Linked DNA regions of Callithrix jacchus. The protein of the gene in region 4 interacts with the protein of the main gene of each other region in a pairwise test. Links are inferred from orthologs where the notes say so. Each region holds a gene or a part of one and is shown on either strand. Other genes may lie near its edges.

Region 1 (4,654 bases), on a different chromosome or scaffold from region 4:
GGGTGTGGTGGTGCATGCCTGTGATCCCAGCTACTAGGGAGGCTGACGCAGAAGTCACTTGAACCTGGGAGGCAGACAACCTGGATGTAGTGAGCAGAGATCGCGCCACTGCGAGAAGAGCAAGACTCCATCTCAAAAAATAAAATAAAAGTAAAATAAAATACTAGCTAAGTAATATAAACTGTTTTTCAAATCTAATTTTTCAAAATTTAATATTTTTCTTCTGGCAAACCTCTTATATACTGGAATCTCATCCTTTTTTGCCAAATTAATAAAATATACTACAGAGTCAAGGATTAATTTAGGTAGATTTGGTCAAGCTATTAAACCATGCCAGGTAGTATATTTTTGTTCTATTAAATATAATATCAAGTAGTTATTTGACCCTGGACTTGTGGCTCTAAAGGTAAACTACACCATATTGTGATCTATTTGCTCCCTAGGCATTTAAAGGGCGGTATTCTGCATGATGTGATGGTAAACAGCATAGAGTCTGAGCCAGCATGCCTGATTCACAATCATGGATCCATCTTTTGCTAGACACGTGACCTCGGGCAAATGAGAAAACCTCTCAGTGCTTTGGTTTCCTCATTTGTAAAATGGCCCTTACTTCCCTGAATTGTTGTAAGGGTTGAATAAATATGCATGAGGTGCTTAGAACACTGCCTGGCACACAAGAAGTACTAAATAAATGTTTGCTATTCTTATGACTACTGTACTATGCACATGATTTCAGAAACATTCTCCTTTCAACTGGACAACAAAAGACCACACAGTGATCATGCTCTTTATAATCCAGTGTGCAGTTATACACAGTTTACCACTATCCCCTGATGGCTTTTTCAGAAACAGAGAATTCACTGTAGAGTACATATAAAAAGCTCACATGAAGTCCACTTCAACAGGAAAACCCGCTACTCAGAAACAATTTTTACACAGAGAGATGAAAGTAAAACCTCATGAGAGGCTAATGAAAGTAAGGTTTAGGTTGGGTGTAGTGGCTTATGCCTACAATCCCAGCACTTTGGGAGACCAAGGCAAAAAGATTGCTTGAGGTCTGGAGTTCGAGATCAGCCTGGGCAACATAATGAGACCTCACCTCTAAAAAAATTTTTTAAAAATTAGCAGGGCATGCTGGTGTGCTCCTGTAGTCCTGGCTACTTGGGAGGCTGAGGTGGGAGGATCACTTGAGCCGAACTGTAAAATGGCCATGTATTACTTCTATGAAGTAGCATGATCATAGCTTACTAAATGCAGTTAGAAGCTGCAGCGAGCCATAATCATGCAACTGCACTCCAGTCTGGGTGACAGAGTGAGGCCTTGCCCCACACACAAAAAACAAACAACAAAAAAAGAAAAGAAAAAAGTCACACTCAGTAGGAAATCTGGTTTTTGGAACTGGTTAGTCAGATAATATACTTCCAAGGCCAAAAATACAACAAATTGCTAAATAACTCAGTTTATCTCTATGTTGTGTGTTCGGTTCACATTGCATTCTTAATCACAACCAACTACTTCATAAAGGTACTTTAAGGGAGCCATCAGAGGAATCCACACAAGAGAGTGGGTGGAGGTCAGTAGGTATTCCTTAATTTCTGATATCAGAAAAGCAATTCAAAACAGTATCTTACTGATGATAGCGCAGGAGCATAATTCGAGCAGAAACACTTAGTAGTACCTTCTCTAGGCCAAGTCAACAATGTCTGAAGCAAAGTTATATATGTCATTACTTACAGGAAACAGAGATTAGACTGGCCTCTAATCTTCCTTTCTGGAAAGAAAGAAGGAAACAAAGGAAAAAGGAAAACAAGAAGAGGGCATTTGACTGGAAAAAAATATATTGTGTGGGATGAAAGAGAAGATCCCGGGTTACCCATAGCCTTCATAGCAGAAACCTTTGATATTCTTTCTTGGTACAGTGTTTTGCATGTGTAGTGATGATTCATGGCATTATGCCATTGGCACTTAATGTGACAACGAACGCAGACTAATACTAAGGAAATTCAAAATTTTGGCCATCCCACCATCCTCCCACCCTCTCTCACAGAAGATCAAAAGACAAATCTTACCTCCACTGAGAATAATGACAGCAATAAATATTGCCAAGTCACTGTCATCTAATTCCAGTGCATTGAACTTCACAGCAAACTCAAACTTGGGCTCCATAAAGTCACCAAAAGGCTTTCGCAGGCTCTTTAGAAACTCCCTTGTCATGAAGCCCTGGCCTTCGGATATGAGAACCCCATCTTTATTCATCAAGGAGGCCAGCATTGTGTAAATGATCTCGTGGACTCCATATTTGAGGAGAGTTACTTGGTCATTCAAGTCAAGATTTACAAAACCAGGAATGCTTTTGGCATACTCTGTGATCTCCTGCACGGCCTCCACAGAGCGGAACTGGCAGCCCTGAAAGATGCGGATGGCCACCTCTTTACTCTGCTCCTGCAGTGGGGTGATGTGTTTGAACTTGATTTTATCTTCTCCCATCATTAAGGAATTCATGTCATAGATAACGAATGGCTGCAAATAAAACAGAAAAAGTGGCTGAATTGGAGAGTTCTAACTTACACTGAATGTCATCCCAGTTCAGAAAACTGTTTCGTTATGTAAATTTGCTTTGTTAATTAAAATCTTTAAAGCTGAAGACGCTTAATAATGAGGACGTATTCTCAAGTTCTTTTATTCATCTTAATTGTCTTCTGAGACCAAAGGTATTTCATCAATTTCGGTCTTCTTTCTCTTCAATTTATACTATAACACCTAACCTATGACTGCCAGGAATCCCAATGTCTCTTGTTTGGGAGTCTTCATTGTTGATTTTTATGTTTATTTGTTTGTTTTTGAGACAGAGTCTTGTTCTGTCACCTAGGCTGAAGTACAGTGGCACTATCTGGGCTCATTGCAACCTCCACCTCCCAGGTTCAAACGATTCTTGTGCCTCAGCCTCCTGAATAGCTGGGATTACAGGCACCACCACCATGCCCGGCTGAGTTTTGTATTTTTAGTAGGGATGTATTTTTAGTAGAGTTTTGTATTTTTAGTTTTGTATTTTTAGTAGGCCATATTGGCCAGGCTGGTCTTCAACTCCTAGCCTCAAGTGATCCGCCTGCCTCGGCCTCCCAAAGTGCTGGGATTACAGGCGTGAGCCACCGTGCCCAGCTTTTTGTTGTTTCTAAAATGATACAAAATCTACTGTTTATCTTGGCTTTCAATGAAATACACTTTTGGCCTTCTTTCAATTAAAAGTCATTTTGGCAACTCAGGGTTGAGAATACTCACTTGAACATAAAGTAACTTTTCAGGTTTAAAAAACATGTTTTTCTTATTTTTTTTTCCTTTTCCTTTGTTCTCCTTCACAGGTAATAACTTTTCAGTTTTAGATGACATCCTCTAAGATCACAAATGAAACTATGTGCATATGAAATGTGTTTAAGTATTACAAAATCACTCTGAAAGCAGATTTGAGCTATTGAACCAAGAAAATGTCTATTTCTTTTTTTAATGCTCTGGAAGTCATCTATTTCAGAAAGAGCAGATTCAGAAAGCCTGTAGGGGACTGCTGCAAAAAGTGGCAAAAAAGGGTTTTGAATTTATATTTTAAAATATTTGTCCTTACAGGTTAAACAATCAATAAAATACATGCCCCAATTATTCAAGTTTGCAATCGGCTGTTTTCAAAAATTAAGTTGTTTGGTCATGACCTGATCTTTCTCTGACTTTCCTTGTATAGAACTAACCAAAGGTTTGTAGTCACTGAGAAGTTCTCAAGGCTGCTCTAAGGGCAACCTTCTACTTACACTGGATACAGTGAATGACATATAGGAGTTAAACCTTGAATCCTGTTCAAATACTTGTGTACCTGAAGGCACTGGAAGAAGAGCTGAAGGTATCTGGGTTCTAGTTTTCGTTCTGTGGTGAACTATGTGACTTAAGGAAAGTCATTTACCTTTCCTAGACCTGAAATTTCTTCATCAGGGGTTTCCATCTCTTCTCTGGGGGAAATTCTAGCTGCATTTCTCAGAAGCAGGATGTGTGTAGGGGGTGGGCATATGTGTGGAGAGGTGTGAGTGTGTATGCACAACAAACATGAAGTCTCTGATGGACTAAAAGTAAAGATTTTTTTGAGCACAGATGCTGAGAATTCTCTCCTGAGTGGGCAGAGAGAAGGTGCATGAGTGGCCGTGGCAACTGGCTTCAAGATGCACTGGTTGGAGATTCTATTCATCTCTGCGGAACTCTATGATTTCCATCAAAATATTAAGTCTGTTCTACACTGGAGGAAATAACACCAACATTAAGGACTCTTAGATCTTAAATATTTCCAAACTTGTACGTCACATCAACACCATTTACTGGAGTTATTCTAGAAGTTTTTACTTTTGTTACCAAAAAATTCACTTCAACTGTACTACTTAGCAAACTCCAAAAGAGGACAGATGTGAGGACCCCAAAACAGGTTTGCCTGGTGGCTCTAATTTTTCAAGGAAATTGGGACCAAATTGTCCTTACTGTATTTCTTAGGCATTTTGCTTGGGTGTTTTTTCTGTTTCCTTTCTTTTCAGGATTAATATTAATAATTGGAAGAATAAAAGGGGGGAGAGAGCAAGTACATTAATGAAAATTTACTGTACTTTTCCAGAATGTCAGGTTCTAA
Region 2 (4,654 bases), on a different chromosome or scaffold from region 4:
AAAAAAAAAAAACAGTCTCCTAGCCTGGCACAGTGGCTCATACCTGTAATCCCAGCACTTTGGGAGGCCAAGGAGGGTGGATCACGAGGTCGAGAGATTGAGACCATCTGGCAAACATGGTGAAACCCCATCTCTACTAAAAATACAAATATTAGCTGGATGTGGTGGTGTTTGCCTGTAGTACCAGCTACTCAGGAGGCTGAGGCAGGAGAATCACTTGAAGCTGGAAGGCGGAGATTGCAGTGAGCCAAGATTGCGCCACTGCACTCCAGCCTGGTGACAGAGCAAGACTCTGTTCAAAAAAAAAAAGGAAAAAAAAAATCTAATATTTTACCGACTCTAATGTCAACCTATATAGCTTTCATCCTGGCCTCCACATGTGTTTGTTGACTGACATAATCTGTTCTTCAGGTATCTTTAAAATGAGGAGGCCTGAGGACCTCATCTCAACACCTACAGCCTGGTACCTGGTTTTGCCCTCGACCAGAGCCTCCCAGGACTTATTCACCCGACAGATAACACAGGGCATTCCTGATAGGTGCCACGCCTCTTCTTGTGTGGGGACGTAGTGAGCAGAGGAGACAAAGCAAAGACCTCTGCCCACGGTGACAAGGGCAGAAGTTCTTTGCTTGGGATCAGAGTTACACATCAGGTTGGGTGGCTGCCTGTCAGCAGCTCAAATGCTGTGCATTCTGCTTCATCAAGTGAGAGGATTACTCTTATTACTTAACAAGTGGCATGTTCTTGGTGCTGAAAATCATCCTGATGCACATGCCATGCACAGCGAGTGTTGGGTGTTCCCACTGTTGGACACACATCCACCCGTCGAGCATTGCCACAGACCTGTCACAGGGGCAGCTGTGTGTGTGCTACATGGGGGAATAGGTCCCTCCTCGGCATGCTTGCAAGAAGTCAGCGAGATGACACACAGGAGGCATCTGGCCCATGGGGCTCAGGGCTTGGGGTGTTGAGGGCCAGAAAGGAGTCTGCACTCCTCTGCAAAGGTCCTGGAGCTTCCTGCAGCCTTCCCCTTCCCCTTTGTCCACAGGCTGGATTCACTCCCCACTGAGATTTGGGGTTTTCAGTTTTAAATATTTAATGTTTTGCTAATTATAAAAGTTGTATGTGTTCACTGGGAACATTTGGAAAACTGAGGTTTTATAGAGTGCCCAGTGGTGTCCTGCCCCAGCCCCAAGCAGTGTTCCTAAACAGACTTCCTTCTTCTCCATCTTAGGAAGATCCTAGTACCTCCCCCTCTCCGGGGACCCGAGCAGCCAGCCAGCCACCTAACTCCTCAGGTGAGATGGCGCCCCCACTGACCTCATGTATGAAGCAAACAGGGCAAGGGGGCATGTGAGGCATGAGGTCTCAGAGTGGGGGGAGCACCCTTCAAAGAGGACTCTCTGATCCAGCCTCCTCAGTTTGCCTGAGCAGAGAGCCAGGCCACACAGAGGGAAGCCCAGTTCTTATGAGTCCCCCAGAGCATCCCCCAGGAATCCATGCAGGAGCATAGGAAGTGCTAGAACAGAGTCACCGTCATGGGTCCCCAGAGTGGCCTACGCGGCACCTCATTTCCCACCAGGACCCTGAGTTCCGCATGAGGGAAGGCACTTGCCTGATGGCACATATTCAGGGTGGGGGTTTGTGTCCAGGGCTCCTGAGTGCAGGCCGGGGCCAGTGGTCTTAAGAGGGTCAGCGTCAGGACTCATGTCTCCCATGAAACGCCAGCTGGTGACTAGCGTTACAGATATGGCAGTGGATCTTGCTTCACCGAAATGCAGCTCCTTCCCTGGCTCAGGTTTCCCGTCAGAGCTGTGGCAGGTGGGAAGGAGGAAGGAGAGAATGATGAGGTGACAAGGGCAGAGGTTCTCTACATAAGCCTTAAGAGGAAGTGGGAGGAAGACCCCAGGGTTGGTTGTTCATTCAACAGACATTGGCGCAGCACCTGCTCTGTGCCAGGCCTGTGCTCATGAGCATGGCAAGGAGAGGCAGGGGCGTCAGGCTGCCCAAGCTGGGCATGGGAGGCGCTTGCCAGCTGTTCATGTGTCTCTCTGGGGCATGCTCAGGTTGAGTGTCACCTCACTGTGAGACTGTACACCGTGTCCTCTCCTCCTAGGACTTTTGCCTGGCAGGTCGATTTGCCATGATGCATAGGTTCTTGGCTGATGAACGTGAACAATGCCCCTGCCCTGTTTGCTTCTTACAGCAGCCCAGTGAGTGGGCTATGTGTTTGCATCTGTATGATAAGTGGTTTGCTCAAGGCCACACACCTGGGACGGGTCTGTGGCCCCAGGTCTAGTGCCTGCAGTCCCAGCACCTGTCCCAGAAGGTGACTTTGAGGAAAACTACCTCAGTCCCACAGTTGGTCTGCAGGGTACCACAGCCAGGCAGCTTCCCCACTACCACTAGAGATTTTGTCTTCTGTCTCTGCTCATCCTGCAAAGTCAGCAAATTCAACTTAATGCAACAAATCTTTTGGAGTAGGCCAAAATATAATCCAATACCACTTACCTTGAAAAAGAAAAGACAAGCCAGCTGAATGGGACAGAGCCAGGCACAGCATGGGGGCCAGCTAAGGAGCCCGTCAGCAGCAGGTGCTGGGCCTCGGGTCCTGGCTGCACAGCTCATGGGAGCAAGGCTGCATTGGGAGTGTCTGGGGAGGTCCTGCCTGCTTCCCCTTCAGCCCCGTTCGCTGGGTTGCTTACCAGCAGGCCCACGTTCCAGAGAAACCTGACCACAGTGAAAGGACTCAGAACGAGGTCACAGGTCAGGGTCAACCAGGTCAAGGGAACAGGAGCTTGAGTCCTGGAGTAGGGGAGACACAGGGTGACGACAGTGGTGCCATCTAAAGCCCTCAGGGGGCTGGCCTAGGCCATGGGGGACTGAGAACAAGAAGCCAGGTTTTGGCTCTGCTCAAATTAGACCTTCTTGCCATGGGGCTCTGCACCCTCAGCATTGGGGAGAGCTTCCTTTTGGATGTTGAGGGGATTAGGGTGGCTCCTGAGTCCTCTCAGGTCTAAAGTTCTTCATCCATGAACCGAATTGACAGAGACTGGCCGGAAGCCCTGGGAGCGGAGCAACTCGGTGGAGAAGCCTGTATCCTCGATTCTGTCCAGGTGAGTGGCCCAGAAGGCCTGAGCAGCAAGGCTGGGGTGGGCAGAGGCGGGTGCTGGCGCCGATTCACATGTCTGTTTCATTCCATGCTGTAGAACCCCGTCTGTGGCAAAGAGCCCCGAAGCTAAGAGCCCCCTTCAGTTGCAGCCTCACTCTAGGTACTGAACAACCCTCCTGCTCACGTGTTCTCCAGGGTTGGGGCTCCTCTGTCCCCTGTCCTGTGACTAACACCTTGCACCCTGTCTCATGTCTTGGCATTTAACAGCTTGCTCTGGGAAGGTGATCTGTTCTTTCAGACCCAGGACCTCAGGGTCCTGTCAGTCAGCTCCTCCTCCTCCCTCTGAGGGAGAGACCGAGGCCCGGGGAGGGCAGTGACCTGTCCACAGATCCAGTGCAGGGGGCTGACTTGGAGTCTCAGCTCTGGACTCACTACATGTGACAGTGAGCAAGTTAGGGGAACTCTCCAGGCCTCTTTTTCCCCCTCCCCCCACAAAACAGGTCGGTGAATCCCTGCTGCACAGGGCAGTAGTGGGGACAGCTGTGCAAACAACAGCTGGACATGGTCACTAGGCGTGGCTGCAGCCAGCAGCTCAGCTAGTCCTAGGACTGGCCCTGAGCCCCACACCCTCTCCTCCAGCCCACAGTCCTTCCTCTGCGTCCAGCACAGAGCCAGTTTCCCCCAGACATGCTGACCATATTTCCCAAACCAAAAGCTGGCATGACAGCACGATAGAATATTTGGAACTGAGGTTGCCCAAAAAGGTGCAGGCAGCCACATCGTATCTGGAGGCCCACGTGGCCTGAATGTGAAGCCCTCTAGAACCTGCATCAAGAAATGTCTCCATTGCCACCAGAAGTTGAAGGGAACCCACCCTTGTCACAGAGGAGGAGGCACTGAAACTGGCCTTGCGGAGCGAAACGGGTGACAAGCCGAGCAAGCCCTGGCCTGTCCCTGGCAGAAATGGCCAAGACCAGGGCAGGGGGACAGAGATGAGGAAGTCTTAGCAGTCAGCTGGGGTTTGTCAAAGGCTTGTGGCCAGCCAGGCCGTGTGCTGGGGACAGTCCCTGCCTGCCAAGATCACATGAGAACAAGGCCCCTGTGGTCCTGAGGGGTGCTCCAGCAAGGGTGTGGGGCCACGTGGTGGAAGGGACAGGGTGCTTTGGGGAGTGGGGCAGGGCAGGCCTCCGTTGGGAGCTGGCATTTCATTGACCTGGACGAGGAGGAGCCTGCTGTTCGGAGAGCATGGGGACAGCCTTCCAAGCTGAAGGAAGGGTAAGTGCCAGGGCCCTGAGCCTGCAGCCACCTGCCAAGTTCTCCCACACCTCGCACCTCGGAGCAGACAGCAGGCCATGGGGCATGGGAACGGGAAGGGTGAGGAAGAGGGTGTGAGGGAGCACGGAATTAAAAGTTTGCATTGGATTCATGTGCAGGACTCCAGCCAGGGAGCTTGAGGCACAGGATGCCATGATGGGAGCTGGGAAGGGGAAGGCAACCAGAGTGGGCAAAGCGAGGGTCCTGGAGCAGACATGGCAGCCGGAG
Region 3 (4,654 bases), on a different chromosome or scaffold from region 4:
ACATCAGATTGCCTTCATTGGGTGACATCTCTGCCTTCCCGAGGCAGCCGACTCCTTCATGTGAGTTGGGTACAGTAAATCACTTGTTTTTGGTTTTTTAACTTGCTAATATCTGTGAAAGCATTTGGAAAAATAGCATATCAGCTTGGAGAAGTTGAGAACTGTAGGCTGCTAACAGAAGTGGAAATTGTGGTTGTCCTGGGCTGGAAGCTTATCTGAAAGAAGAGTGTAGAAAGCAGATTTGGAGAGGGGTGGGAGGGCCTTGTGGGGCATCAGGGGTTGTGGAAGCGGTGGGCCTGCTGGCCAGGAGCTCCTCAGAGTTCCCTGGCATTGGGCCCTTGGGCAGATCTGGGAGGGGTGAACACTGGGAAAAAGCTGAGAAAGTAAAGTGCCCCATGCAGCCTTGAAACCCACTGGGGCATTGAAAACAGGCTTAGCTGAGTCTCTAGATGATTCTATGTAAAGGTATTGGGAGCATTGTGATCAATTAAATCCCTTTTAAAATTTAAAGCAGCCTTTTCACGTGGTACTTTTTTTTTTTTTTAAGTGCATAACTCCTCCTCAGAGCCCCGATCTCATGGAGCCATCGACAAGGACACCTGTTTCTTCCCAAGTAACAGATTCCAAAGCATGCACAGCCATGGCCGCCCTCCAGTCCTCTGCTGTGGTGGCCAGAGCACTGAATGGGGCGGTGGAGAGGGGCCTGCCGGGTTTGGAGCCAGTGCCCAGCTCTCTCTGCAGGGCCGTGGGGACCAGCGTGATCCGACACACTGGGGAGAGCCCTGCTCCTGCCTGCTTTCCCACCACCCAGACTCCAGATGGCCAGCTTTCTGACAGCAGAGAAGAAGAGCAACTTTTGGGACCCTTTGAAACTTTGCAGGATGCACGCCTCACAGACTGTTTACTCAGCACTAACGCGGTGTCCTGTCAGCCTTGCTTGCACAAGCCTGGTGGCCTGCTCCCCACTGATGGAGGCCAGCAGGCAGGGTGGCCTGGTGCAGTGCAGACTTGCTCACCAAAGAATTACGAAAATGACCTGCCCAGGAAAACCACCCCTCTGATTTCTGTCCCTGCTTCTGCTCCCCCTGTCCTTTGCCAAATGATCCCTGTGACTGGACAGAGTGGCATGTTCTCAGCTTTTTTGAAGCCGCCTCCCCAGTTGTCTGTGGGGACTGTGAGACCCATCCTAGCCCAGGCTGCTCCAGCTCCACAACCTGTATTCCTGGGACCTCCTGTGCCTCAGGGAGCTGTGATGCTGGTCCTGCCCCAGGGCGCCCTCCCTCCGCCTGCCCCCAGTTCGGCCAGTGTTTTGGCTTCGGGGAATACCAAGTTGTTGCCCCTCGCCCCTGCGCCAGTGTTCATCGCCTCTAGCCAAAGCTGTGTCCCTCAGGTAGACTTTTCCCGAAGGAGGAACTACGTTTGCACCTTCCCAGGTTGCCGGAAGACCTACTTCAAAAGTTCCCACCTCAAGGCTCATCTTCGCACTCACACAGGTAAGCACCAGGGCAGGTAGGGCATTGGGCACACCAGACCCTGTGGTTAGGAAACACACCTGGAGCTGCCTTTGGGTGAGAGGGTGTCATGAGAACTCCTGGTGGAGGGGGAAGGGTGGCTTTTTCTTTGGTTCTGAAAAGCCTGCACAATCCTGTAAGGGCGGGGTTGTGAGCACAGCCTTCAGGAGTTTGCAGACGGCGCCAGCTGCTCACGCTGAGAGAAGAGGTAGTCTAGTTCTGTGATGGTGTCTTTCGGGAGCTTTTAGAGTGACTCACAGTGCCCCCTTGTGTTCACATTGCAGTAGACGGTTTATTTTTATTTATTTTTAAGAGAACATGCATTCACGTTCAGTAAATATATCTTATCAGTGTTACTTACGTTCATTGTGGGAAGGTCTGGCCAAACTATATTAAAGTTAAAATTCTAAAATTTTTTTTAAAGAGTATAGTTTTCTTACCTCTGAAAGTAGTTTTTACTTTAAAGTAAGTTCCACAAGACTCTTCTGACCTAATGATCCGTTGTCTAACCAGCTCTGTCCAACTGAATTTTCTGCAATGGTGGAAATGTTTGCTGTCTGTCCTTTAGGGTAGCCACGGCCTGCTCACATTTGAAGTGTGGCTAGTGTGCCCGAGGAACTGAATTTTACACTTTTAAATACTTGAAGTTTAAATAGCTCCATGGGACCTGTGGTTTCCCTGCCGCCCACCAGTGTTCTGGGTGTTGCTGGATAGAATGGCTCCAGTAGGTGAGGGCACCATTTCTCAGGCGTTCTGTGAGTTTGTGTTCTCTTGCTCTGATCATGGTGGCCTCCACGTGGAGAATGAAGCGCTATCTGGTGTTCAGACACTGTAAGAGGAACTCTACTGCTCCCCCATTCTACCGAGTGGATGTTTCCTTCCATGATAAGGCCAAACTTGGCCATGAAGTAGTTGCCTCTGCCCGTGCAGAAACAGCCTCCCAACCTTCTGTTCTATATTTCCACTCTCCCCCTCGGCCCTCTGTCCATGTCTACTTACCGAGAGCCTCCAAGGGCCCCCCCAGAATTAGTTATTAGCTTGTTTCCTTATCTTCCTTTCTTCTTTGGCCCCAGTCGTTTATTGTAGGTCTCACCACATTCTCCCTTTGCTTTTTAGTTACTTATATATTAATCTCACCTGGATATACTCCTGGTGCCTGATGATACAAGGGTGTGACACTAGTTAGTAAATGAGGGTTGGTCGTTCACATGGCGGATGGACTTGGGGGCTGCGTCAGGGAACCAATGCTTCTGATGAAGTTGACCTGCTTGCCTCTCTTAACGGGCTTGTTGACTTGGTGAGCTCCACATTTCACTGGGGCTGTGCAGGGGAACTTCACATCACACTGGAGCACAGCTTCCAACTTTGGGGAGGTGACTGAATTAGGTTTTGCTGTTTCAGTTTTCCTTGGTAAAGTACTGACGGGATGATTTACAATGATTAAAACAAGCTTCTTCCATGTTTCCTAAAGTACTTCCAATTAAATAACTGGCCGGGCGCAGTGGCTCACACCTGTAATCCCAGCACTTTGGGAGGCTGAGGTGGGCAGATCACGAGGTCGGGAGTGTGAGACCAGCTTGGCCAACATGGTGAAACCCCATCGCTACTAAAAATACGAAAATTAGCTGGGTGTGATGGTGCGTGCCTGTAATCCTAGATACTCAGGCAGCTGAGGCAGGAGAATCACCTGAACCTGGGACGCGGAGGCTGCAGTGAGCCAAGATCGCGCCACTGCACGCCAGCCTGGTGATGAGTGAGATTCTACCTAAAATAAAATTTAAAAAAATTAAAAAAAATAAATGAGCATAAGAGTTCTGAAGAATCCCCTTCTGTGCCATTTTGTAGACTTGGAGTTTTCATGAGAAGTAGAAACTGGGCAAGTTTCCCTTGGCTAAGACCACTTTTTATATATATTCCTACCAACCTGAAAGGTCGTTAAATTGGAATAAGCTAGAGTGAATGGATGCTACATTTTTTTTCTTTATTTTTCCACAAGTTATTGGGGTACAGGTGGTATTTGGTTACATGAATAAGTTATTTAGTGGTGGTTTCTGAGATTTTGGTGCACGATGCTACATTTTTAATTAATTAATTTTTATTCTTGGTAAAGACAGGGCCTTACTTTGTTGGCCAGGCTGGTCTGGAACTCCTGGGCTCAACTGATCCTCCCTCCCAGCCTCCCAGAGTGCTGGGATTATAGGCATGAGCCCCTGTGCTTGTACTTGGCTTGATTTATTTTTAGTTTTAGATATATTTTGAAAGATTAGCTTGAAATCTTTGGGTGCTAACAACATACTGCATCTTAAGTGTGGCAGGAATAAATGCTTTATGGAGGATTGACCCGGATCATCCAGTTCCATGTAGGGCTGATGGCCCCACACGGTCGTGGGGTGTCCCTTATGCTGTGCTGAGACGCAGGATCTGAGAAATAAAGAGACAGGACACAGAAGTACAAGGAAAACGCAGCTGGGCTTAGGGGGCCATGCCACCTGTAAGCAGAGTTAGGCGAGGCCCCAATGTCCCGAAGCATGAGTATTTATTGTGTATAGGTTAGGGGGCAGGGCAGTGAGTGAAATCATCTTTAAGGATAGTGATAGGGTCACGAGCAACAGAACATGGAGTCCACCCCCATTAGGTCACCTAGGCCAGGAGGTGGACAGTTCGCAGCAAGGGGCCCGTTCCCATGAAGGGGCAAGGGCCGGGTGCAGTAAGGGGTCCAGCCCCATCAGGTCACCGAGGCTTGAAGGTGGGTCATGCACAGTGAAGAGGGTGCAGTGTGCAATACTTTTATCTATGGGCAAACTACTTTTAAGATGATTTATAGGAGGATATTTTAAGTCACATAGCAGTGACAGAGCTGTTAAGGTTACCGCCACCTTCTGGCAGTTTCCAGTGAGTTTTATAGGAAGATGCTTTTTGAGCAGCATAGTAGCAAGAGCTGATAAAGCGCATACCAAGGTGGATTGCCGTTCGGAGGGCAGCCTTCCACGAGAACTGGAGCAAGGTCCTACAACTCCTTATCAGGAGGAGTGGCTCTCGCCGCAAGCCTGCCATAGAGCGGGTATCGTTACAATACTGAACGCTGCCGCCTGGGCTATGGATTCTTGTCCTGGTATAACTGTTTTTCCCTTAAATCATGCTCT
Region 4 (4,654 bases):
TCAGCTTTATCTCAGCAAAATCAAAGCGTGTCGTCTAATTGCTAAATAAGAGCTGACAAATCTGAAAGACACTACTGAATCCTTGGCATGCAGGAGTTGTATCTGCATCCTGTGGCCATTTTATCTCCTTGCAGCATTTAATCAGTTACATTTGCAGAGTCTCTGAGAAGCCTTTATCAGAGATCCTTACATCTCCTGTGTGAGTGTTTCCGTGACTGCAAAACCAGTTAAACTTTTATCCTTTTTCTTCTCTGGGTTGGGGAAGATTGTGTTTGTGAGAGGGAGAGAGACAGCAGAGAAGGAGGATATAATTACTATGCTGTATACTTTGAGCTAAAACTGCCAAAACACACACATGCACATGCACATGCACACACACAGATAATTATGCTTTGATTTCAGTCTTAAGAGTACCTTGATGGTATTTGTAAATGGGATTGGGCACAGTTTGGCGGACAGTCAGTTTGGGATGATATTTCAGTCTGTAGGGCCAAGCTATTTTACAATTTGCATTTTGAAGTTGTCACTCTCCTAGCAGATGGTGGGAGATAAACTATTACTTCTTAACCTCAGACTTAGTCTTCGGTCCAGATGAGGAAGATTAAAAGATTATAAATATCTTGCACCAGATGAGGTGATTTTATCTTGAAATGACCATAAATTCGTATCAGTTGTTTCACCGGGATATTTGTGGTGGAGTTTGTACACTTGAGTTTTAGGATAGATGATCTGTTTTACATTTATTAAGAATGCCTTTATACCACGTATTGCCTGTTGCAATGTTTTGAGTATATTCCAGAAGTGAAATTTCTGGGAAATAATAATAGAATACAAACTGTGACTTGAAAGTCAACTAGGGCCTGCATTTGTATCATGATCTGTTTGAGTGTTGGTGAGAAAACAGCTGTAAAGAAAAAGTTTTAAACAAGTTGCGTTTTCCTTTAAGAAGCCACTAAGCGTGAGTCCTTTTAGTGTATATTTCTAGACTCCTAGTTTGCGGAGTTTAGACTAAGACTAAAAAAAAAAAAATTGTGTTGTAACTTCATTTTTGTTTGTATTTTAGACACCAAAGGCTCTATTCCCTGCTGGACAGGTTTCGTCTCTCCACCCTGCAAGACTCACTCAGTCCCTCTCCTCCAGTCTCTTCCCACCCGCTGGACGGGGATGGGCACGTGTCACTGGAAACAGTGAGTCCAGACAAAGTAAGTGTCCAGCCTGTCTGCATGGGAGGTACAGGGCACATGCAGGGTGGTGCTGAGTGCCACTGTCACCTCTAGCAGATAGAGAGTGTGCAGAGGAGGTACAGTGAACCCAAGGAGTCTGGGGCTCGGCCCGAGCCAGCTTTGGTTAGAGATGTGGGGCACCACTAAGGTCCTAGGATGTGGGACCCATATGTTAGGAGTATGGGGCCCAGTAGTTAGTGGGTGAATCAAGGGAAGGTTGGCCAGGGCCTGCAGGATTCTGACTGCACAGGCCTTCAAGCACCTGTCAGTGCGTTTAGCCTGCCTCCATTTCCTTACGCCTTCTGGCCTCCTGTCAGTTGCACCACCACTGCCAGCCATTCTGGCATGTTGTCAGCACCTCCACTGCTCACACTCAGGGTTACTTAGGGACTGCCTGGAGCCTTGGTAGAGCCTTGGTACTCTACTTTCCTGGAGAGAGTTCAGCTTATGAATGTGAATTTAGATTTCAAAAACCCGCAGCCCAAGTATAGGAAAGCGAATGTTCAGTCCTGCCTTCTTAGGCTTTGTTGCACCTGCCCTGCCCTGGTTGCTGGGGAGAGACGAGCAAAGCAAAGCCCAGGGAGGATGTAAAGGGGCTGCTAACCCTTAGTGCTTTAGCTGTATTTGGAAGGACTGTTGGAAGTTCACGAGGTGACAGGGAGACTGCAAGGGTGCTCAGGCAGGTAACGGAAGTCCAAAGGTGGTGTGGGTAACGGAAGTCCAAAGGTGGTATGGCTCCCCACATAAAGCTGTATTTGGAAGGACTGTTGGAAGTTCACGAGGTGACAGGGAGACTGCAAGGGTGCTCAGGCAGGTAACGGAAGTCCAAAGGTGGTATGGCTCCCCACACCTGTGGTGTGGGGACCCATAGGGCCACAGCATGCTGGCTGTTGTCCCTCTTGGTTAGCCCAGTGCAGTGTTCCCAAGCACTGGCCTAGGCCCGTAGCTCCAGGAATGTGAAGACCCCTTGAATGCCGCCCATCATGTTCCCTGTATCCATTTTTTCTTCTCAGGACTGGTACATCCATCTTGTCAAATCCCAGTGTTGGACCAGGTCAGACTCTGCACTGCTGGAAGGTGCAGAGTTGGTGAATCGGATTCCTGCTGAAGATATGAGTGCCTTCATGATGAACTCGGTACGGGGGGGAGCAGCGGAGGCAAGGAATCCTCAACTTTTACTTGTGACTTCCAAGTGGGATTTGTCTCATCATCATGACCCACTTGTTGACAACACCTGCTGGGGACTCCACTCTGGCTATGGACAGGAGGCTGGGGAGACTCCTGTCTGAATGGGGCTGGGAAGTGGGGAGGACTCGATTTCAGATGGGGCTGGGACGTGGGGGATATGCTGATCCAGATAGGAAAGCACATTATTTCAGCCATGTTAGAATCCAAGAAGGCAAGTTGATTTCACTCAACCTTTCATGCATTTAAAGAAAATGTAGATGGTGGCCAGGTGTGGTGGCTTATGCCTGTAATCTCAGCACTTTGGGAGTCCAAGGCGGGCGGATCACCTGAGGTCAGGAGTTCGAAACCAGCCTGACCAACATGGAGAAACTCCATCTCTACTAAAAATACAAAAATTAGCTGGGCATGGTGGTGCATGCCTGTAATCCCAGCTACTCGGGAGGCTGAGGCAGGAGAATTGCTTGAACCCAGGAGGCAGAGGTTGCGGTGAGCCGAGATTGTGCCACTGCACTCCAGCCTGGGCAACAAAAGCGAAACTCCGTCTCAGAAAAAAAAAAAAAGGAGGTGATCTTGTATTATAGTCAGTTTGCTTCTTTGTTCTCATGGCAGTGAGGAAGGGTTTTGGATTGTTGTCTGAGGTCGAGAATATGAGGGAATGAAGTGTGGCCCTGGGCACTCCGATTGGCATCTGTGGTGGGGAATATGAGCGGCAGGGGAGCAGGGTAGAAACTGGATGGCAATTGGAAGCAGGCAACTGTGGAATTTGAAACAAGTTGATGGGAACCCTCTCTCAAGAGGAGGTACTGTTTTGAAATTCAGCTGGCCCCAAGGCTGGGTGTATGGTTTAGGATGAGAACTATTTGGCCTCCACCAGAGGAACAAACACGGGATTTTATCACCTACACTCATTGGCCAACACAGAATGGAAGTCAAGGTTGCATATTTGCCATAGACTTTGACACAACATCATGCATGCCTTCAATAGCATGTTTATTCTGGAAGTTAAAGGAGACTCTTGGATGCAGTGAGATTTCCTCTACCCATACCTCTGTTAGATGTAGTGAGGTTCTTCACCTCCCAATCCCAGATGTCAGAGGGCACCCTGTGCAGAGCCAGCCCAGGAGGCCTTGGTGTCCCTGTACTCCAAGCCCATGGACAGGTCCTGTGAGCAGCAGGGGCCTGCCTCTTGCGTGTGGTGCAGCTGTGGCCCGAGCAGGGTTTCCTCTCGGACCTGCTGGGACGGGAGAAACTTCCTGGTGTGTTAGCCCTGCGTCGATAAGCAGCAAATGGGAGGGAAGTGGGCACCTGGGAGGGCAAAGGCATGTAGAGCTGGGGGTGGCTGCAGGTGTTCATGAAAAGACCTTTCAGGGAACGCAGCACAACAGGGTGTTCTGACGCATTGAAGAGCTATACTGAAAACAGGAGAACTCGCCCAAAATTGGTTTGCTAAAATCGTTTAAGATTCATGCAGTGAAAGCTGACTTATGAGTGATGAGTTTGCTTAGTGATTGGCTTACTAGGTTTTTCAGGTTTGCTCTTTGGACTTGAACAGCTATAGAAGTTCTGTCTGTAGAAGAAAGCTTCAGCTTTTGGCATTAATTATGCTTCTCTGAGTATTAAACTTAAGATTGATGTTTTACCTGAAAAACTGGCCCCCAATCCTGAAATGGCTAAACAAAAAGTTGGGAAAACATAATACAGATTGTCGTAGGAAATACCATTTTTCCAACCAAAATTGTGGCATTCACATGGCTGCTTTTACTTATTTCAGCTACATTTGAACAACTTTCTCAAGCTTCAGGAATTACTGGTGTATCACTGATGTCTTAGATGACACTTTTGCTTTTATTTAGATTTTCTGTTTTATGAATTAAAATTGTCATACCAAAATTTTTATTTCAAGCAAATCCAAGAGCATTAAAAATTAAAATACCAAAAGAGAATAGAAATACATTTTACTAAACATATGTTCAATGGAATTGTTCAAACATTTATAATAGGCATAGAATAGACTATTCTTAAAAGTAGTTCTGATGGGTGTACTAATCTGTATTTTCTTAGAAACATTTGCCTTATCCTTTTTTCTGTTGTATTTTTCTTGCCTGGTTGAAAGCTCATAATCTGTTGTTACTGTTTAACCTTTAATGCTCTGATTTCAGGAGTTCAACATAAGCCTATTAGCTCCATGCTTAAGCCTAGGGATGAGTGAAATTTCCGGTGGCCAGAAGAGTCCCCTTTTTGAA
Region 5 (4,654 bases), on a different chromosome or scaffold from region 4:
AGGCTGCTCTAACAGGGAGCCATAACCTGAGAGACATTTATTTCTTACAGTTCTGGAGGCTGGGAAGTCTCAAGGTGCCAACAGATTCGCTTCCCGGTGAGGGCTCTCTTCCTGGCCTGCAGATGGCTGCCTTCTTTCTGTGTCCTCACACGGTGGAGAGAGAGATCATCTCTCTTGTGTCTCTTCTTATAAAGCACTAATCATACTCATCAGGGCTCCACTCTCATGACCTAATCACCTCTCCAAGGCCCCACCTCCTAATATCATCCCTTTGGGGATTAGGGCTTCAACATGAACTGGAGGCACACAAACATTCAGCCCATAGCAGACTCCGCCCGTGTCAACTTAGATAGGACACATGATGAGTAGTGACCACATCTTACACCTTTTTAGCACACTGCTGATGTCCTGCAGGCCCAGGATCTGGGACCAGCATGTACCAGCAAGGATGGTCTGTAGGGTCAGGTGTCACGCTTCTGAGGAAGACATGGAGCCTGCTTTTTTCTACCCTGTTGTGACTCTATTGAGTTTATTTTCCCCCTCAATTCTTGAGGTGGGGCCCTGCACAGATGGCCCCAGGATGGTTTAGATGTCCCAGAGGGAGCTGGAGGGACAGCCCCCTGTGCTGCAATCTGCTGCCATCCTAGTACCAGCCTACAGCCTCACTGGCCACCGTCTGTGGGATGAGGGGAGGGAAGAGAAGGGACGGCATTGCCCACACCTGCATCCCTACTTCTGGGTGCTCCATCCATCTCAATCTGGCACTGGATCTCATCTTTGACATTGTGGAAAACATGCTCAAATCTTCCTGTTAGACTTGGCCAGCCTCACATGACTAAGGCCTCCCTCCAGGGAGCTGAAGACTTCTGTGCACACGACAGTGTGTCAACTCAGGAAGCAGCTCCAGGTGGCATCCGGATTTGTCCTGCCTGGAGTAGAGGCCAGACAGGATGTGAAGCAGCAGGGAATCAGTGCCACCCTCCTGCAGCGTCCTGCTGGCCTTTCTTTTCAGTCCCTTACACCTGCCTCCTGGCCCAGGCTTAGTTAGGTGCACCGAGTCCGGTGCATTGGCCTCCTGCCCCTCCCACTCTGCTCTTTTGCTCTCACGGGTGCTGCCCCTGCTGCCTACCAATCCCACAGCACTAATTCCTGGTGCTGTGCCGGGCTGTGACTGTCTTGTCTATTGCCGTGCCCCCCGTTCTTAGCACATGCCACGTACATACCAGGTGCTCGACACAGTTCAAAGAGTGACCAAGGACACACATAAAGGGAGCTGTCTCTGACCCCCTTTCAGGCTCCAAGGAACTCTGAGGCAGGCTGCACTTTGAAAACACATGCCGATACCAGCGCATTAGAGTTTCCCTTTATTAGCATTTTCTTCCCATGTTATTCTTGATCCCTGTTAACCTCCTATGAGAAAGGGCTTCTTCCTGAGTTTAGTGTTCCAGATCTGACTCCAGACCTATGCAAGGATTTGTGTGTACCAGTAGATCCAGGCTGACTCCTGCAGAGGCCGCTCTGAACTTCTGAAGAGAGGTTTCAGCCACAGTAGTGCTGATGGCCAAAAATTCTTGTTGGCAAGAAAAAACACTTAGGTGATTAAAAGAAAAATGCTTTCTAGCATATATCACCCTGAAGGGCATCCACTGTTCACAGTGTGGCCCACAGGAGGCTTTTGGTCTCACTGTTGCATGTTGGAGCCAACAGTTGGCCTTGAAAGTCTGTATCCTGACTATTGAATTCCATCTTCTAGGTGGAGACAGATGTGTACAGCACCCTGATTGGCAGTGCCCAGGAATGTCCTAGGCTTTTTCAGGGTGGGGGCCTCAGTCTGCTGCTGTGCTGGGCCGGGCCTTCCTCAGCATGGTGTCCTGAGGGATGCTGGTGCAGAAGGCCACTTTGCCTTTTGATGCCTGCCTTGGCTTCACAGCAATCTCGGGAGCCCTGCAGACAAGCAGAGGGTGGGGTGAGTGTGGTGCCCCTCAGCCCCCACACTGTTCCCATCCAGCCGTTGCTGCCCAGCAGGTCCAGACCCATCTAGGAGAAGCCTCAGGAGGGGCTATAAATGAGAGGATAATTGTGGCATGAGAGCATAGAACATTAGATGTTTTATTCCCATGTTTTATTTTTTATTAATTTTTTTTTCAGACGAGTATCACTCTGTCACCCAAGCTGGAGTACAGGGGCCCAGTCTCAGCTCCCTGCAACCTTCACCTCCTGGGTTCAAGTGATTCTCCTGCCTGCGCCTCCTGAGTAGCTGGGATTAGGCACATGTCACCTTGCCTGGCTGATTTTTGTATTTTTAGTAGAGACGAGGTTTTGCTGTGTTGGCTAGTCTGATCTCAAACTCCTGGCCTCAAGTGATCCACTGCCTCGGCCTCCCAAAGTGCTGTGATTACAGGCATGAGCCACCTCACCTGGCCCCTCCCATCTTTTAAAATCCCCTGTGACCATCCTCACTGAGCTGAGGCAGTCAATCCTTAGCTGGCTTGGTGAGGAGGCCATGGGTGAGAAGGATGGTCAGGGCTGGGCAGGAGGCCTCCCTGGCTCACCTTCCTGTCCTCAAAGGGTATGTTGCCCTGCTGGCCACGTTCAGTCTCTGCTGCAGGCTGTGGCCCTGTTTCCTTGAGCATAGACTCAGGTAGCCCTAGGGATGCTCCCTGTGGACCAGGCTTTGTGAGGTGGGCCCTCCACAGGAGATTGCTGGGCCTCTGCTGAGGCTCAGAAAGAACATGGGGGGCAGCCTTCAAGGTCAAGTCAGTGAACTCTCCAGCTCCAGTTCTGACAGGCATCCGAGGGCAGAGGGAAGCTGGAAACAGGGCTGCAGGAGGCCACAGGAGTTCTGGGGCCCACCCCCTGCAGCGGGTGCCTTAGCCTGCAAGGGGCTGTCTGCAGGAGGACAACATCCAGCATATATTTCTGACTTAAAGGACAAATTATTTCTAAATACCTGGGCAGAACCATAGAACCTTCTAGAAGCAGCTTCCTCTTGAGATTCTGAATGGAAAGGGAATGCGATACGCAGAGAAAGTGTGAGGGAAGCCAACTCACGTGGACAGGATGCCCATGGCCTGCTGGGTGGCCAGAGTCTTTTTGTCCTGCGGTCCATACAAGAAAGTCTGGATCTGGAGACACTGTAGAACACCAAGCAGCAATCATGAGGCTACAGAAATGTCGCTGAGAGCAGGAAAATACAGTCTCCCTTGAACAAGAGAAAGATCACTTCATTCTTAGACCCTGCTCTGATGGAATTAGCATGTTCTAGTGACAGTCTGACCTTCGATTTGGATGTTCTGAGTGTTCTAGGCAAAAACATACAGTTTTAGCACTGTTTCAAAAACCTCTGTGACTATCTGTATGCAAAAAATATATTTAAAAGTTGTATTTTTAAAAAAAAAGGCAAGAACCTTGGTACTGACCAGTGGATGGGCTCCAGTTTCTATTTTTAAATGGTCCTTGCTATAGCCTGGAAAAGATTTTTACAAAATGCTTTTGTTTTTTATAAACACATACTCTACTTTTATTAATATAGGGGCTTTCTATACTTTTTACTACACAGAAATGTCTTAGTTATGAGGAGGCAAATATTCAGCTTATGGATTATCCAGGGCTGGCTTTGGCTTGCTTTTTCTTTTCTGCTTACTTGAAGTCTTGCCATTCGATTGCTTGTACTAGGCTAGAGCAAACTCAAGGAGAGGAGAAAGATTAAAGGTGTGCCAAAAATGGCCAAAATAGTTTTGAGAAAGAGTGAGGTGGAGGAACTTGCTTTACTGGATGCCAAGACCCTTTTTTTAAAAAACTAAAGTGATTAAGACAGCATGATTTTCACCCAGAGACCAGTGGAACACAGCGGACAGCCCAAGCCTTGACAATGACGGAACTGGCCTTGCAGGACGGGTCAGGAAGAGGTGGGCAGGTCAATAAATGGTACTGGGACCTCTGGTTTTCCAAATGGAGGAAAGTGAATTGCTACCAGAAACCAAACACAAAAATGAAGCCCAGAAAGATTTAAAGGACTAAATGTGAAATAGAAAACTTGGAGATTTTAGATGAAAATACTGGAATATTATTATTATTATTTTTTTTTTTTTGAGACAGAGTCTTACTCTGTCGCCCAGGCTGGTGTGCAGTGGCATCATCTTGACTCACTGTAACCACTGTCTCCTGGGTTCAAGAGATTTTCCTGCCTCAGCCTCCCGAGTAGCTGGGATTACAGGTGCCTGCCACCATGCCCAGCTAATTTTTGTGTTTTTAGTAGAGATGAGGTTTCACCATGTTGGCCAGGCTGGTCTTGAACTCCTGACAGCAGGTAGTCCACCTGCCTTGGCTTCCCAAAGTGCTGGATTACAGGACTGAGCCACCATGCCCAACTGGAGAGTATCTTTTTGATCCTGAGGTAGAGAAGTATTTCTTAGACAAGATCTGGACAAAGAAAAAGTGAAAGACTGAGAAAATGTAACTATATGAAAACCCAGGCTGGGTGCAGTGGCTCACACCTGTAATCACAGCACTTTGGGAGGCTGAGGTAGGTGGATAATGTGGTCAGGAGATCGAGACCATCCTGGCTTAACATGGTGAAACCCCATCTCTACTAAAAATACAAAAACACACACACACACACACACACACACACACACACACACACACACACAAA

What was found. The genes of interacting proteins can lie anywhere in the genome.
Region 1: the proteins of HTT (region 4) and PPARG interact in binary tests that used the Homo sapiens proteins (3 or more experiments, as listed by UniProt). The link is inferred for Callithrix jacchus from reciprocal best matches to the Homo sapiens genes HTT and PPARG.
Region 2: the proteins of HTT (region 4) and EVL interact in binary tests that used the Homo sapiens proteins (3 or more experiments, as listed by UniProt). The link is inferred for Callithrix jacchus from reciprocal best matches to the Homo sapiens genes HTT and EVL.
Region 3: the proteins of HTT (region 4) and KLF11 interact in binary tests that used the Homo sapiens proteins (3 or more experiments, as listed by UniProt). The link is inferred for Callithrix jacchus from reciprocal best matches to the Homo sapiens genes HTT and KLF11.
Region 5: the proteins of HTT (region 4) and TTC23 interact in binary tests that used the Homo sapiens proteins (3 or more experiments, as listed by UniProt). The link is inferred for Callithrix jacchus from reciprocal best matches to the Homo sapiens genes HTT and TTC23.

Annotation. Positions count from the first base shown.
Region 1 is NC_133516.1:69,578,813-69,583,466, reverse strand, and holds part of PPARG (peroxisome proliferator-activated receptor gamma), read right to left. Parts: intron 2,521-4,654; coding exon 2,070-2,520; intron 1-2,069. UniProt on the Homo sapiens protein: Nuclear receptor that binds peroxisome proliferators such as hypolipidemic drugs and fatty acids.
Region 2 is NC_133509.1:135,052,573-135,057,226, forward strand, and holds part of EVL (ena/VASP-like protein), read left to right. Parts: intron 1-1,234; coding exon 1,235-1,298; intron 1,299-3,049; coding exon 3,050-3,116; intron 3,117-3,209; coding exon 3,210-3,272; exon of another isoform or gene 3,273-4,387; intron 4,388-4,654. UniProt on the Homo sapiens protein: Ena/VASP proteins are actin-associated proteins involved in a range of processes dependent on cytoskeleton remodeling and cell polarity such as axon guidance and lamellipodial and filopodial dynamics in migrating cells.
Region 3 is NC_133515.1:104,935,225-104,939,878, reverse strand, and holds part of KLF11 (Krueppel-like factor 11), read left to right. Parts: intron 1-547; coding exon 548-1,493; intron 1,494-4,654. UniProt on the Homo sapiens protein: Transcription factor. Activates the epsilon- and gamma-globin gene promoters and, to a much lower degree, the beta-globin gene and represses promoters containing SP1-like binding inhibiting cell growth.
Region 4 is NC_133504.1:189,944,752-189,949,405, reverse strand, and holds part of HTT (huntingtin), read left to right. Parts: intron 1-1,063; coding exon 1,064-1,202; intron 1,203-2,236; coding exon 2,237-2,359; intron 2,360-4,570; coding exon 4,571-4,654.
Region 5 is NC_133507.1:10,513,982-10,518,635, reverse strand, and holds part of TTC23 (tetratricopeptide repeat protein 23), read right to left. Parts: intron 3,135-4,654; coding exon 3,052-3,134; intron 1,945-3,051; coding exon 1,827-1,944; 3' UTR 1-1,826. UniProt on the Homo sapiens protein: Participates positively in the ciliary Hedgehog (Hh) signaling.